3 linked regions of the Bombyx mori genome follow. The protein of the gene in region 2 binds, or shares a complex with, the protein of the main gene of each other region. Links are inferred from orthologs where the notes say so. Each region holds a gene or a part of one and is shown on either strand. Other genes may lie near its edges.

What was found.
Region 1: U5 small nuclear ribonucleoprotein 200 kDa helicase (region 2) and puff-specific protein Bx42 share a complex: the UniProt entries of both Homo sapiens proteins name them as parts of the minor spliceosome. The link is inferred for Bombyx mori from reciprocal best matches to the Homo sapiens genes SNRNP200 and SNW1.
Region 3: U5 small nuclear ribonucleoprotein 200 kDa helicase (region 2) and small nuclear ribonucleoprotein G share a complex: the UniProt entries of both Homo sapiens proteins name them as parts of the U4/U6-U5 tri-snRNP complex. The link is inferred for Bombyx mori from reciprocal best matches to the Homo sapiens genes SNRNP200 and SNRPG.

The regions. Positions count from the first base shown.
Region 1 is NC_085130.1:3,027,457-3,031,804, reverse strand, and holds the start of puff-specific protein Bx42, read right to left. Parts: upstream 2,805-4,348; 5' UTR 2,680-2,804; coding exon 2,663-2,679; intron 2,492-2,662; coding exon 2,340-2,491; intron 621-2,339; coding exon 463-620; intron 1-462. Other genes in the region: uncharacterized protein LOC101746654, read left to right, coding at 3,489-3,530, 3,636-3,708. UniProt on the Homo sapiens protein: Involved in pre-mRNA splicing as component of the spliceosome. As a component of the minor spliceosome, involved in the splicing of U12-type introns in pre-mRNAs.
Region 2 is NC_085130.1:11,236,877-11,240,533, reverse strand, and holds part of U5 small nuclear ribonucleoprotein 200 kDa helicase, read right to left. Parts: coding exon 3,485-3,657; intron 2,899-3,484; coding exon 2,727-2,898; intron 623-2,726; coding exon 462-622; intron 1-461. UniProt on the Homo sapiens protein: Catalyzes the ATP-dependent unwinding of U4/U6 RNA duplices, an essential step in the assembly of a catalytically active spliceosome. Plays a role in pre-mRNA splicing as a core component of precatalytic, catalytic and postcatalytic spliceosomal complexes.
Region 3 is NC_085133.1:8,591,039-8,595,155, forward strand, and holds the start of small nuclear ribonucleoprotein G, read right to left. Parts: upstream 2,805-4,117; 5' UTR 2,657-2,804; intron 2,383-2,656; exon of another isoform or gene 1,999-2,382; coding exon of another isoform or gene 1-1,998. Other genes in the region: uncharacterized protein LOC134201547, read left to right, coding at 1-1,998. UniProt on the Homo sapiens protein: Plays a role in pre-mRNA splicing as a core component of the spliceosomal U1, U2, U4 and U5 small nuclear ribonucleoproteins (snRNPs), the building blocks of the spliceosome.

The DNA.
Region 1 (4,348 bases), about 8.2 Mb from region 2:
ACACCTGTTGGTTGGAAAAATTTCCAATAATACTTTCCTAGAGATGGTTTCAGGAAATGCTCAAACTATGTTACTGCTTATTTCTCAATTAATATTATTTAATGTTAAGTTATCGATCCATTTAGATGACTGGTTATATGATACAAAATTGAAATCTGTGCAGAAATAATTATGGTACCATAATATTTGTTCATTCAACTAAACAGGCGCCTTTTCCAACAATGACATCAATGGTCACATTTAAATTATTCTACACAGACATATTATTTACAGTCAAAAACTTTTAAAATAAATAAAGATTCAGAGATTTTTAACAGACTTCACAGAACTTGTTAGATGTTTTAAATTATTTCTCTAATCAGCCTATTATGTGTTTACATATCTAAGTGTTTAGTAATCAAGGACTTCAACAATAATATCTATTGTGTTCTCATTCACCATGTCAAATAATTAACTGATCACCTTGTCAGCGCTGTGTCCTTGTCTGGCAATCGCAGAATATTTGACTCTCCCAGACTCATCCAGCTGGACAGCAAGAGCGTTTGAAGTACTCTCCTTGCCTCGCATTCCCATACCAAGCGGGTACTGTGCCACATGGATCTCTGGGAATGCTCCGCCATCTAAAACATACAAGCTTTGAAGCAATACTGCGTATATAATTAATTTTAGGTGTAATTTGAAAGTACAGTAAGACCCTGACATAATGCTGACTCGTTCAGTGGGATTTCAGTTTAACTCTCTTTTATTTGAATTGTAAGATTTGCCTGAAGAAGACCTGAAATTGCACACGGCACTAGGCTTCCCGATATCAGAATAAATTATTCTGTGTTTTTCCTATCCTGCAGTGTTATCCAACATATTTTTATCATTTCAAACATTTGTTGGTGTTATTGTAAGTACAAATTTATATGATACAATGATTGATAAAGTGACAAATATTTTTATTTTAAGTTTTTATCATGGGTGTTAACAAAAACACAAAAATAAAGCAACAAGAAAAACTATTTCCCTAGAAACTAGATGCAAGCTAATAGAAGATTAGATACTGGTGAATGTCAATCTGAAATTGGTGCTGCATTAAATTTGGCAACGACAACAATAAGGAATCTGGCAATTTTTCCAATGAACGTACTTAGCAAATGTTCACAAGTGATTTCCACTGTGAAGGAATAACATCACATAATAATAATCAAATCCACAAAATTATAATGCGTAATTACTGGTGGTATTACGTATTGTGAGTCTGCACGGGGATGTATCACCACCCTGCCTATTTACACTATAAAGCATTAATGAGTTTCAGTTTGAAAGGTGGGGCAGCCGTAGTTAAAGATGAGACCTTAGAACACAAATCTGAGGGTGGGTGGTGGCATTTACGATGTAGATGTCTATAGGCTCCAGTAACCACTTAACATCACGTGGGCTGTTAGCACATCCAACCACCTGGCAAAATAAAGGCAGAAAATTGGCAATACAGAAGAAACTGTATGAACTGAAATACAACATAAACATACAGACTATATTCATTTATTGTTTCTATATTTGTAAGAAATAGATTATTGTTTTATAGGAGAAAGATAGACAGAAAATTGGTGAGGTATTTAATGTTATATACCTCACCAATTTTCTATCTAACCTAACCCCATTATTTACATTATGAGATTATGTTTAATGCTGTTTCATATTAAACTCTACTTTGATGGAATGTATATTATCACTCATTAAGCAAGTTCTTACTGTAAATATATTATTACAATTTACATTTATTTCATTACACAAGCTTGTATACACCTGTATCCCAAGCCATCACAATAGTTACTAAGCTATGTATTTTATTATTAAGATTATATTATTAGGCTATGTAGTTTTATGTCACAAAAACCACTTTAATTATAATAACCTGGTTTTTTATGTAAGAATGACATTCAGAATTACTGAAAGATCTAGTTCGGTATCCAGATTCCAACACCCTGCGGCATACCGTCTCTCAATTCACATGAAAGCCACAGCTACTGATTAATATCTGGTTAAGCACAGGTCAGAGGTAAACATGCTATTGTATGCATAGAATCAATGATGACACTCTTTTTCTGACTTCAAATAAAAAACCTAGTTTTTGACTTGATTCTCACTTCGGGGGTTATTCCCGTCTCTCAATTCATATGAAAGCCACAACTACTGATTAATATCTGGATAAGCACACGTCAGAAGTAAACATGCTATTGTATGAATAGAATCGATGATGATACTCTTTTTCCGACTTCAAATAAAAACCTACTTTTTGACTTGATTCTCACTTCGGGGGTTATTCACTTTTTTATCTACAAAATTTAACAGACCTGCAAAATCTTCGTCTCTTCGAGGTACCCATCCTTTCCTCTCACCGTAAGGTGGCACACTGGTCTGGGACACTACAAGAGCACTCCCGACACGTTTAGCCTTCAACTCATCATCTCTATCCCACACTTGCTGACTAGGGGCAGGCAACAAGCTAAAAATGAAACGTGAACCACGGTCAGTTTGTCAATACGTAAACGTATGAAATTATTTATTTACAATAGTTAATTTAACTAGTAGCTTTAATCAGTTATTATTTAATTTCGGCGTTTATTGTATATTCAATTTCAAGTATTTAAGTTGATTGTTTTCATTTAAAACACACCTCGACAACGACGCCATTTTTATGTCTGAATCTGAAATACCGTAGACATTTCACTAATTTGACATTGTTCATTTATTTTGACATTTGATTTATTTCTCTGTACGATTCGTCCAATGGATAGTAAAGAGAACTATCCTTCAATCTGATCTTTTGTTATAAAGTCGTATGTCTGAAAAATGGAATGGAATTGTTTTTATGTAATCTAATTTTGTGATAAAATGAATGAAAGACAATTTGAGTTTGATTTTTTCTTCCGCAGAGATTGTAAACTAATGCTGAGGGGGTCTTTTCAAATAACACAAGACGTATTATGTAAATCAAGGTACACTGTCAGCAAGGTAGACATCCGAACCAACTTTTGTTATTTAATTTCGCCTATACATTAAATAGTACCATTGTTGTTGATCATTGAACGGTTTTTTTGTTATCAATCCTGAAGGAATTCGCAATAAAAATTCATAGTTCTCGATGCTGTTTTTAAAATGATATTTCTGAACGATTTTTTTAACTTGACTGAAACAAAATTATTCACAATCACAAGTCATCATTCTTTTCGAAATATATGTTTTCGGACTGTCTTTAGAGTTTAAAATGAAAAAAATATTATCATTATCGCCATAGCAATGAATTTTAATGTTCAAAATTTCAATGTTTCAAAATGGTCACAAAAAGAGGTGGAGACGAACTGTCAAATTCGTATATAAATGAAGTAGGCTGCGAACGTCTCCCTTTTATAACCTCAAAAATGCGCGAGAAGTAATAGTTCTATAGACAAATTTAACTATTTTTCCTGTTTAATTGGTGTTATAGTGAACGTACATACAAAATGCCGTTGAAGAAGAGAAAATACAATGCTAGATTTCCACCAGTAAGTTCAAAAGTTCTTAAAAAATGTTCAAAAACCTTAAAATATGTGTTGTTTTCATGTATAAAAGTCTGAGATTAGTGAAATCATGACATTGTTTGTTTGTAGGGACGTATCAAGAAGATAATGCAGACGGATGAGGAGGTGGGGAAAGTAGCACAGGCAGTCCCCATCATAATTTATATCCTTTTCAATTATAATTTTATAAAATATCTATAATTTCATAGCAGTCTGTCTTTAAGTCAACACAGACTGTACAACATTTTCTTTACTATTTTAACAAAACGTATTTGTTCTATGCAATTCTTTTGGGCCAATTAATGAGCAAACAAATGTGCTATTAGTACAAATAGGGACTAAGCCATGAAAATGTTTATGTAATGATTATTTATTATGTTTTATAGTCTGGGTGCTCTTTAGATTATATCATGGAAGATAAAGTTTTTTTTTTCTAATGACACATAACTATTGTGTATATGTATGTGGAAATTGTGTGTATTACTGCTTAAATTAAGCAGCCTGCAGTTGGAAGATAATCACTTAAATGCAATTGCATTGGATTTTGAGGGGCTTGATGTGAAATTTACTTAATAAATCATCTTGAATTATTCTATTATGAAAGTGAATAAAAGATCCCTGAACTCTTAAGACACTAAGTTATCTACCTCAGAATGTGACTACTTACATTACAAAGATTTCTCACTTTAGGGAGCTAAGGAAATTTATTTTGAGCAAGACATATAAATATAGTTACTGACTTCATTGCAATGCAGGAACAATTCTAAAGAATGTTTATGCAGGCTCGTAGCACTCCATGTAAA
Region 2 (3,657 bases):
TAGGTCATGTCTTATTTTAATTTATATTCTTATTTTTATATGAAAAATGATAACATGGAGTGAAATGAAATGAAGATGATTAATTTGAGATATTAATCAACCGGGATGAAATTAAATGAAATGAGATGATATGGGATGAAATATAATCTCAGTAAAATGGTGGTCATTTACTGAGATTTTGTCAGTAGACTTTTTGGAGGATCCCGAGAAGTTACATCCAGCAGCTTTGTTTTATTTTCCCACATATGAGCATCTTTCACTTTCATATACTAAACAGTTAATAAACCACCGTTATTACACATTTAAACCTGAAGAAACACTAAATATACAGAATAAAACAAATCAGACAATTTCACTACTCGCGTTCCCGCCAAAAAGTCCGACAACACCGTTGGTTAGTGTTGCCAGACCCCCGGTGACCCCCCCCCCGTCCCCCTTACAAGAGTGGAGCTACACGTCACCTGTGCGTGACCCCCTGTAAGTTGTAGTAGTTGGGGTTCTGCGTGAGCCGCCGGTACAGGAATGTCCAGGTCAAGTAGTCGACGGCGTCTTGCTTGTTCTCTATGGTCTTCGTCACTATCTCGGCGTTCATGTGATCGTGGAGTCTGTGGTCCAAGTGACTCTGTTAAATAACAAAAGTACCGTTCAAATTTAAGAATTTATTGTATAGAAAAAAGAAAAAGAAAAAAACAGCTTCCGTAGCGAATCGTATTGAAAATTTGGATTTTTTGTTGAACTTAAATAAATAACATAAGAGAATATGTGTGTATTTAATAATAAAAGATTTTTATAAACTCGACACTGGCAACAATTGCCATAGGTAAAAAAAGAAAGAAATTGAATTTTATTTTTGTCTACTATACACCATGAAACATGCACCGTCACATGGATATTTACATTTATTAAATATAATTATTACATTAAAAATATATATTTATAATTTGACTATATTACATATTTGTATTATTTTCGGTGTTCAAATTATGTATCAATGTACTTAGCGTTATTTTCTTTCTCTCGTGATGACGAGAGATGATGATGATCTTTTTCTCTCATGATGGCATCATCAATTTCAATTGATCATTCAAGAACGCCTTAAGCTATAAGCTTGTGAACATTAGGAGTGGGTAATATCGGTTTTGCCGCGTATCGAATCGTATCTATATATCGAGGATCAATATCGGATATTGAATCTATATATTTTCTGAATCTATATATTGATGGATGCTAGTAGATTTTCTCGATTCATGATATTTGAGATTTGAAACGATACGCTGATATAATATCGTAGTAGATATAGATTTTAAGTCAACGTTATACGGTTGGTTTTCTGATATCAATTTATAATATGATCTTAAAGTAATAAAAAGAACATGAAAATAAAAATATCAAAAAAACTTTCCTTCATGCTTTTACCAGGCTTAGGACTGGCTACATTATTTTCAGTTTTTAGTATTTTGTGTCTTAATTTAAAATTACAAAATATACCAAAAGAGTGTAGATTTCAAAAGTTTAATACAAACACAAGAAATAAACTCAATTATTTGGATTCAACTAAAAATAGAAAAATGTGTACTTTTAAAATCAAACAAAAAACTTTTAAGTATTTATAAACACTTGTCCAAAAATTCTAGTTCAAGGTCAAAGCGTGTGAAATCAAATTCAACGATGCAAATAGGCTATACTGCATTCAAGTTAGGGTCGAAAGTTGAAACTTCTTTCCTTAATTGTATCCTGCTGATACGCTAAGAATAATCTACAGACATATGGACTTAAATATAAGGTTTACAATTGTATGGATAATGCCTGTTTCTGTTTCATTCATCATATGATATTCCTATCGTGCGCTCGCTCACTCTGGCCGATTCGATACGAACCAAACGAATATTGCTGATATTCACGACTCGGTCCGATATGCCGATGCGCATCACATCGAGCAATATCGTGTATCGGCTGATATCGTTATATAGATTTCGATTCACGAATCGGTACGATATGCCGATGCGCATCACATCGAGCAATATCGTGTATCGGCTGATATCGTTATATAGATTTCGATTCACGAATCGGTACGATATGCCGATGCGCATCACATCGAGCAATATCGTGTATCGGCTGATATCGATATATAGATTTCGTGCGGGGCGATATCGGATTCAACGATATTGCTGCGATATATAGATATTGAATCTATATACGATTTATATCACCCACTCCTAGTGAAAATACACACGAGGTGGGTGGCGAACTCATCAAACCGTATTTTATTTATTGCTTAGGTTGGTGGACGAACTCACAGTCCCCCCCCCCCCCACCTGGTGTTAAGTGGTCATTGGAGCCCATAGACATCTACAACGTAAATGTCGTCATCCATCTTGAGATATAAGTTCTAAGGTCTCAGTATAGTTACGAATGCCCCGCCCTTCAAACCAGAACAGGCAGGGCGCACCCGCACGGACTCACAAGAGGTCCTACCACCAGTAATTACGGAAATTACAATTTTGCGGGTTTCATTTTTATTACACGATGTTATTCCTTCACCGTGGAAGTCAATCGTGAACATTTGTTGAGTACGTATTTCATTACTATTACTATTCGAAATCCGGCCGGGTACTGACTTACTATTCGGCCGGATAGTGAAAACATGGCCGGATAGGGCGGATACCGGGTTGTTACCGGATATCCGGTTTCATCTCCAGTCTGAACCCAATGAGGTGTCGCCTCACCTCCAGCGGCAGACAGTCGTTGAGCAACTTGGTGAAGAAGGTCTTGTGGTGCGCGGCGCACATGAGCACCGCCACCGAGTGGTCGTCCTCCAGCGGGCGGCACGCGCGCCCGATCATCTGCAGCACCGTCGTTATCGGGTACTGCTCGTACGAGTGCAGCTTGCCGTTGTACCTGACCAGGATACGAAAGTTAGTTAGTAGGAACGTGAACCAGTATCGTGAAAACCCTCAGACACAGCCCACTGAGTTTCTCGCCGGATCTTCTCAGTAGGTCGCGTTTCCGATCCGGTGGTAGATTCTGCGAAGCACGGCTCTTGCTTGGACTAGTGTTAGCATCACTCCGGTTTGAGCCCCCTGAGCTCATCTACTAGTTAAGGTTACGCTGATATAGCCTCTCAAGGCTATCAGCTTAGTTAGGAAAAAAAAAGTGTCGTGCATACAACAATAATACTGTTACACCGGTAAGAGTAACTCCATCTATCGCCGAATAGTCGAACGAATATCGAAGCACCTAGACTACTCGAGAAGTACAACGCCATCTATTGACAGATAGCGGAAACTACGACTAGATATGTGTGGAATATTCTCGATAATTTTAAGAATGAGGTATCGACTATAACAGCGGTGTAGAGATGGCACGCAGTCAGTCAGTAATCGGAACTACTCGAAGCGAAACAGCGAACGGCTCTACAAGAGTAAGTATTGAGCCACTCGAAGCCAAGTGTCCGCCCCTCCCCCGGGTAGCGTGCGCGACTCACGTGCACGTGTCGGCCACGATGACGGTGTGCACGTGCGCGGCGAAGCTCCAGGCCAGCTCGGCGGCGACCACGCACAGCTGCGCGGCGCCGCACTCTACCAGCTGCTGCACCACGCGCCGGTCGCCGGCGGACACGCCCGCGTGCAGGTACGCCACGCCCGCGGACAGCGTCTC
Region 3 (4,117 bases), on a different chromosome or scaffold from region 2:
GGCAAACGCTGGACTATTAAAAATAAAATATCAGCATTAGCCATCTTCAAGCGTTCACCAAAAGCTTACCGATATCTGCGATATCTCGCACCATTTCCGAGTATCAAAACATTGCAAAAATTAATGAAAAAAATACCTGTTGAGCCAGGTTTAAATACAGCTGTACTTGACCACCTGAAAAAACTAGCTCCCATTAAAAAAATAAGAGCAAAATTATGTTCGCTAGTCTTTGATGAAATAGCGTTAAAAGAAAGGTTAACTTATAGCGAAGCCACAGATAAAGTGGAAGGGTTTATCGATTATGGATATGAGAGGAAAGATGAGCTAGCAAATCATGCCTTAGTCTTCATGTTACAAGGTATTGGGAGAAAAATTAAACAACCGCTGGCATTCTATTTCATAAGAGGCACAGTATCTTCAGAAAAATTAGCAGTTTTAATAAAAGATATAATTAAAGAAATTACTAACTCGGGATTTCAAGTTTTATCAACAATATGTGATCAAGCGCCCACCAATATGGGAGCATTAAGTCTGTTAAAGGAGTGGAACAATGGTGGACATAATTATTTTGAATTTGAAAATAAAAAAATTTATATAATTTATGATATTCCACATTTATTAAAATCACTGAGAAATAACTTTTTAAAACAAGGATTTCTGAAAATGGGAGAATTGAAAGGTCAATGGAGCCATTTAGTTGAGGTAGAGGAACGAAATAGAAATTTTTTATATCTTAGCAAACTCAAATCAACTCATGTACAACCAAAGTACAGAGCTAAAATGAAAGTTAAGTATGCCGCACAAATATTTAGCCAAACAGTGGCTGCTGTTCTTAAATTATTAGCTACGAATGTGGAAAATGTACACCGATCAGATGAAATATTACAGACTGCTTTGTTAATTGAAAAATTCAATAAACTTTTTGATTATACAAATGGGCCATCAGGACATGCTGACGTAAAAAAAGGTATACGGGAAAACGTATCTGCTAAAACTGACCATTTAGCTGTTTGGACAGAATATAGAAAGCAACTGTCTACTTTAACATTTTTCAACCATAATGGCGTGGAAGCAAAAAATGTAAAGTGTGTTCAAGGCTACATTATATCATTAAAATCGCTGCGTGATATTTGGCTGGAAGTTCAGGATTTAGGATATAAGTATTTGAATCTACGGCAGTTAAACCAGGATGCATTAGAAAATTTATTTGGGTTAATAAGACAGCATGGTCAAACAAACAAGCATCCGACGTGTTCTACATTTATAGCAGCTATGAAAACCTCTATAATATCAGGACTTACCGCCCCTCACAGCAAAAACTCCAATTGTGAAGAAGACAAAAAGGAACTCATGACGGATTTTCATGATTTAGTTTTTGGGTTTAAAGACGAAGATGATCAAGGTCAAGATATTAATGAGTCTCCTAGTCATGTTTCCACAGAAAATGAAAATGAGGAAGACAACCCGGTTCTCAGTATACCTGAAGAAGAAGAATATAAAGAAATAGTATGTGACCTAGCAAAAATTTCAAATCAACCAGTGGTCTATATAAGTGGATATCTAGCTTCTGTTATTCTAAAAAAAAATGATTGCCAGGTCTGTAGAGAAACTTTGACAGTTGCAGATCCAGAGGAAAATAAGATTTATGATTTAATTAAATTAAGGGAGTGGTGGCAAGATAAGAAATGTTTGACATATCCATCATTGCAGTTGTGTCAAACTGTACACACTGCGGTTACAAATTTTGAACAGTTTTGTATCCCTAACCTACATAATAACAATATTTGCCAGTGGACAATTACTATATTTTATTCAAATTGTAATACAGAGTGGCTATGCATTAATCATCGTCAACAAATGTCAGACTTATTGTTTACAAAATTGGCTCTAATGCTGATTCGGCGACAGTGCCAGATAATTAATTTAAAGCAAGTTTCAAAGGAAGAGGATTTGGCGGACGCGAACAAAAGGGGTCAACAATATGGTGTTTCAAGATAATTACATAATTAGTTTTTATTTGTTTTTTGTAGAAAGAAGTTAACTTCGGGTTTGAGTTCAAAAAAAGTATACATTTAGAGATTTAGAACTTTATTTTTTTACTATTATAAAATAGAAGTTTTTAAAAATTTACTCTTCAAATGGAAATAGAAACGAATTGTTTTTTATTTAGCACAAAAATTTTCAAAACCTAGTTCGTTATAACATTATAAAACAAGGTTGAAAACCTCTACATGTATACTTATTGTACCTTGCATAAAATTAAGTAAATATTGGTTTATATTGTAAAATAAAAATTAAACATTTCCGATACAAACTTAAAATTTTTTGTAAGCGTTAAAATTCTACTTACAAATTTCATTAAAATTATACTAAGTAATAAAACATTGTTTTATTTCTTTTAAAATAATAAAGTTTTTATTTCAATATGCAATCCTTGCCTGCATTCGATATCGACAAAAATATCGATAATATTCGCATCATTATTTATTGGACATCGATATTAATGCCCATCACTATTTTTGACAGTGGTAGGATTTTTGTAGTCTGTGGTTGTTTTAATGTTGTCACCAGATCGGATCTGATCCCATACATTTTCATTTTGTAACGTTTACTATGAAGTGCGGACTCTTATAACGTAGTGATTATATACTCTTTGGAATTTTGTCAATGAATTTAACTTTTCTACTATATTCTACCGTCTGAGACAGTGCTGCCACTTCCAAAATTAAATAAGAACCTTTGACACGGCGATATTACGATTATAATTTTGGAAATTATAGATCTTGGACATCAACAATATCAGAGGTACGTACGGTCAAGCTACTGCCTATTGCAGAGTTCTTCTTAAGCCTTGTCAGAAACTTGACAGCTTTGATCGAGCTACTTTTTCCCGGCCATAATAAATCTACGTTATTTATGGTAGTAATATGGTCCTCATAACTTGCTGAAAGAGATTTTAGCATGAGTTTTACGATCGGCCGTCTGTCTGACATGAATCTTTCTTGGGCTAGTAGTATATCCATGGCAGCGTACCATGGGAGGATACATTATAATTTAGATTTTTAAATACAAAATATCACGTTTTATGAAATTTTATGAATTTGCATAAGAATATCATAATGCATCATTCATACGAAACATAAAAACAGAAGCTTAAAAGGACACTCAGAACAAATAGAAAAAGAAGCATCTAGTGGGGTGCTAGATTGTTGGGGTGTTTGATGGTCTTTGGCAAAAATGTCTGAAAATATAATATTATAGATGATCACAATGGTTGCGTTTGTAAAGATAAACTCATCAAGCCTTCCAACGTAACTTCTGGCAGTAGCCAATAGAAAAAAACAAAAATAAGGCAATTACTGGCTGCTAGGGAAAATACATAAATAAATCTATTCTAGCACTGTACAGAATTCTAATGATTGTGAACTCAGGGTCTATCTGGTTGCTGCTCTAGTTGGTGGGTTCTGAATTCATAAATTTAACAAACGCTTTCGTGCACCGACTCTTAGAGTATCTAGGTTACCCCTTTGTTCAAAATGTTTTACTTCCATCCGTCCGTGCTACTTTATACAGTCCTAGATCACAAATAAACGCAGTTTATGGTATAACAATCCAAAAAAATATGAATCACTGTGGTTGTATTAATGTATACCATCATTTATAAGCTTAAGCTATTAGGCATGCCTAACCGCTAACCGCTTGCCAAAACCGAATTATAAAAAATATTAAAAACTCCGTAAAGTAAAAACAAGACCGAACCAACAGATAAAGTAAAAAGTTTTACAAAAAGACTGTTAATATACGTCTATACAGTATATCATACATTTTAATGTATTTAAGCATCGTACGAATGTCATCGATTTAAAATCGAAAAACATCGATCCATTAAACGAATTTAAGTAATTTTTTGCCAATTAATATTTAATAAAACTTAATAAAAATATTTATATCTGTGCTTCTATTTTATTAATAATGCACTGCAAGAAGCTACTTCAATGGTGGTGAAAACTCATATTTATTTCGTAATATGCAAACCTTTATTTTTATACTAACAAAAACATAAATATTGTAAGTTGGCAACTTGAAGTCAAATTTCGTTTAGAAATTAAATTAAAAA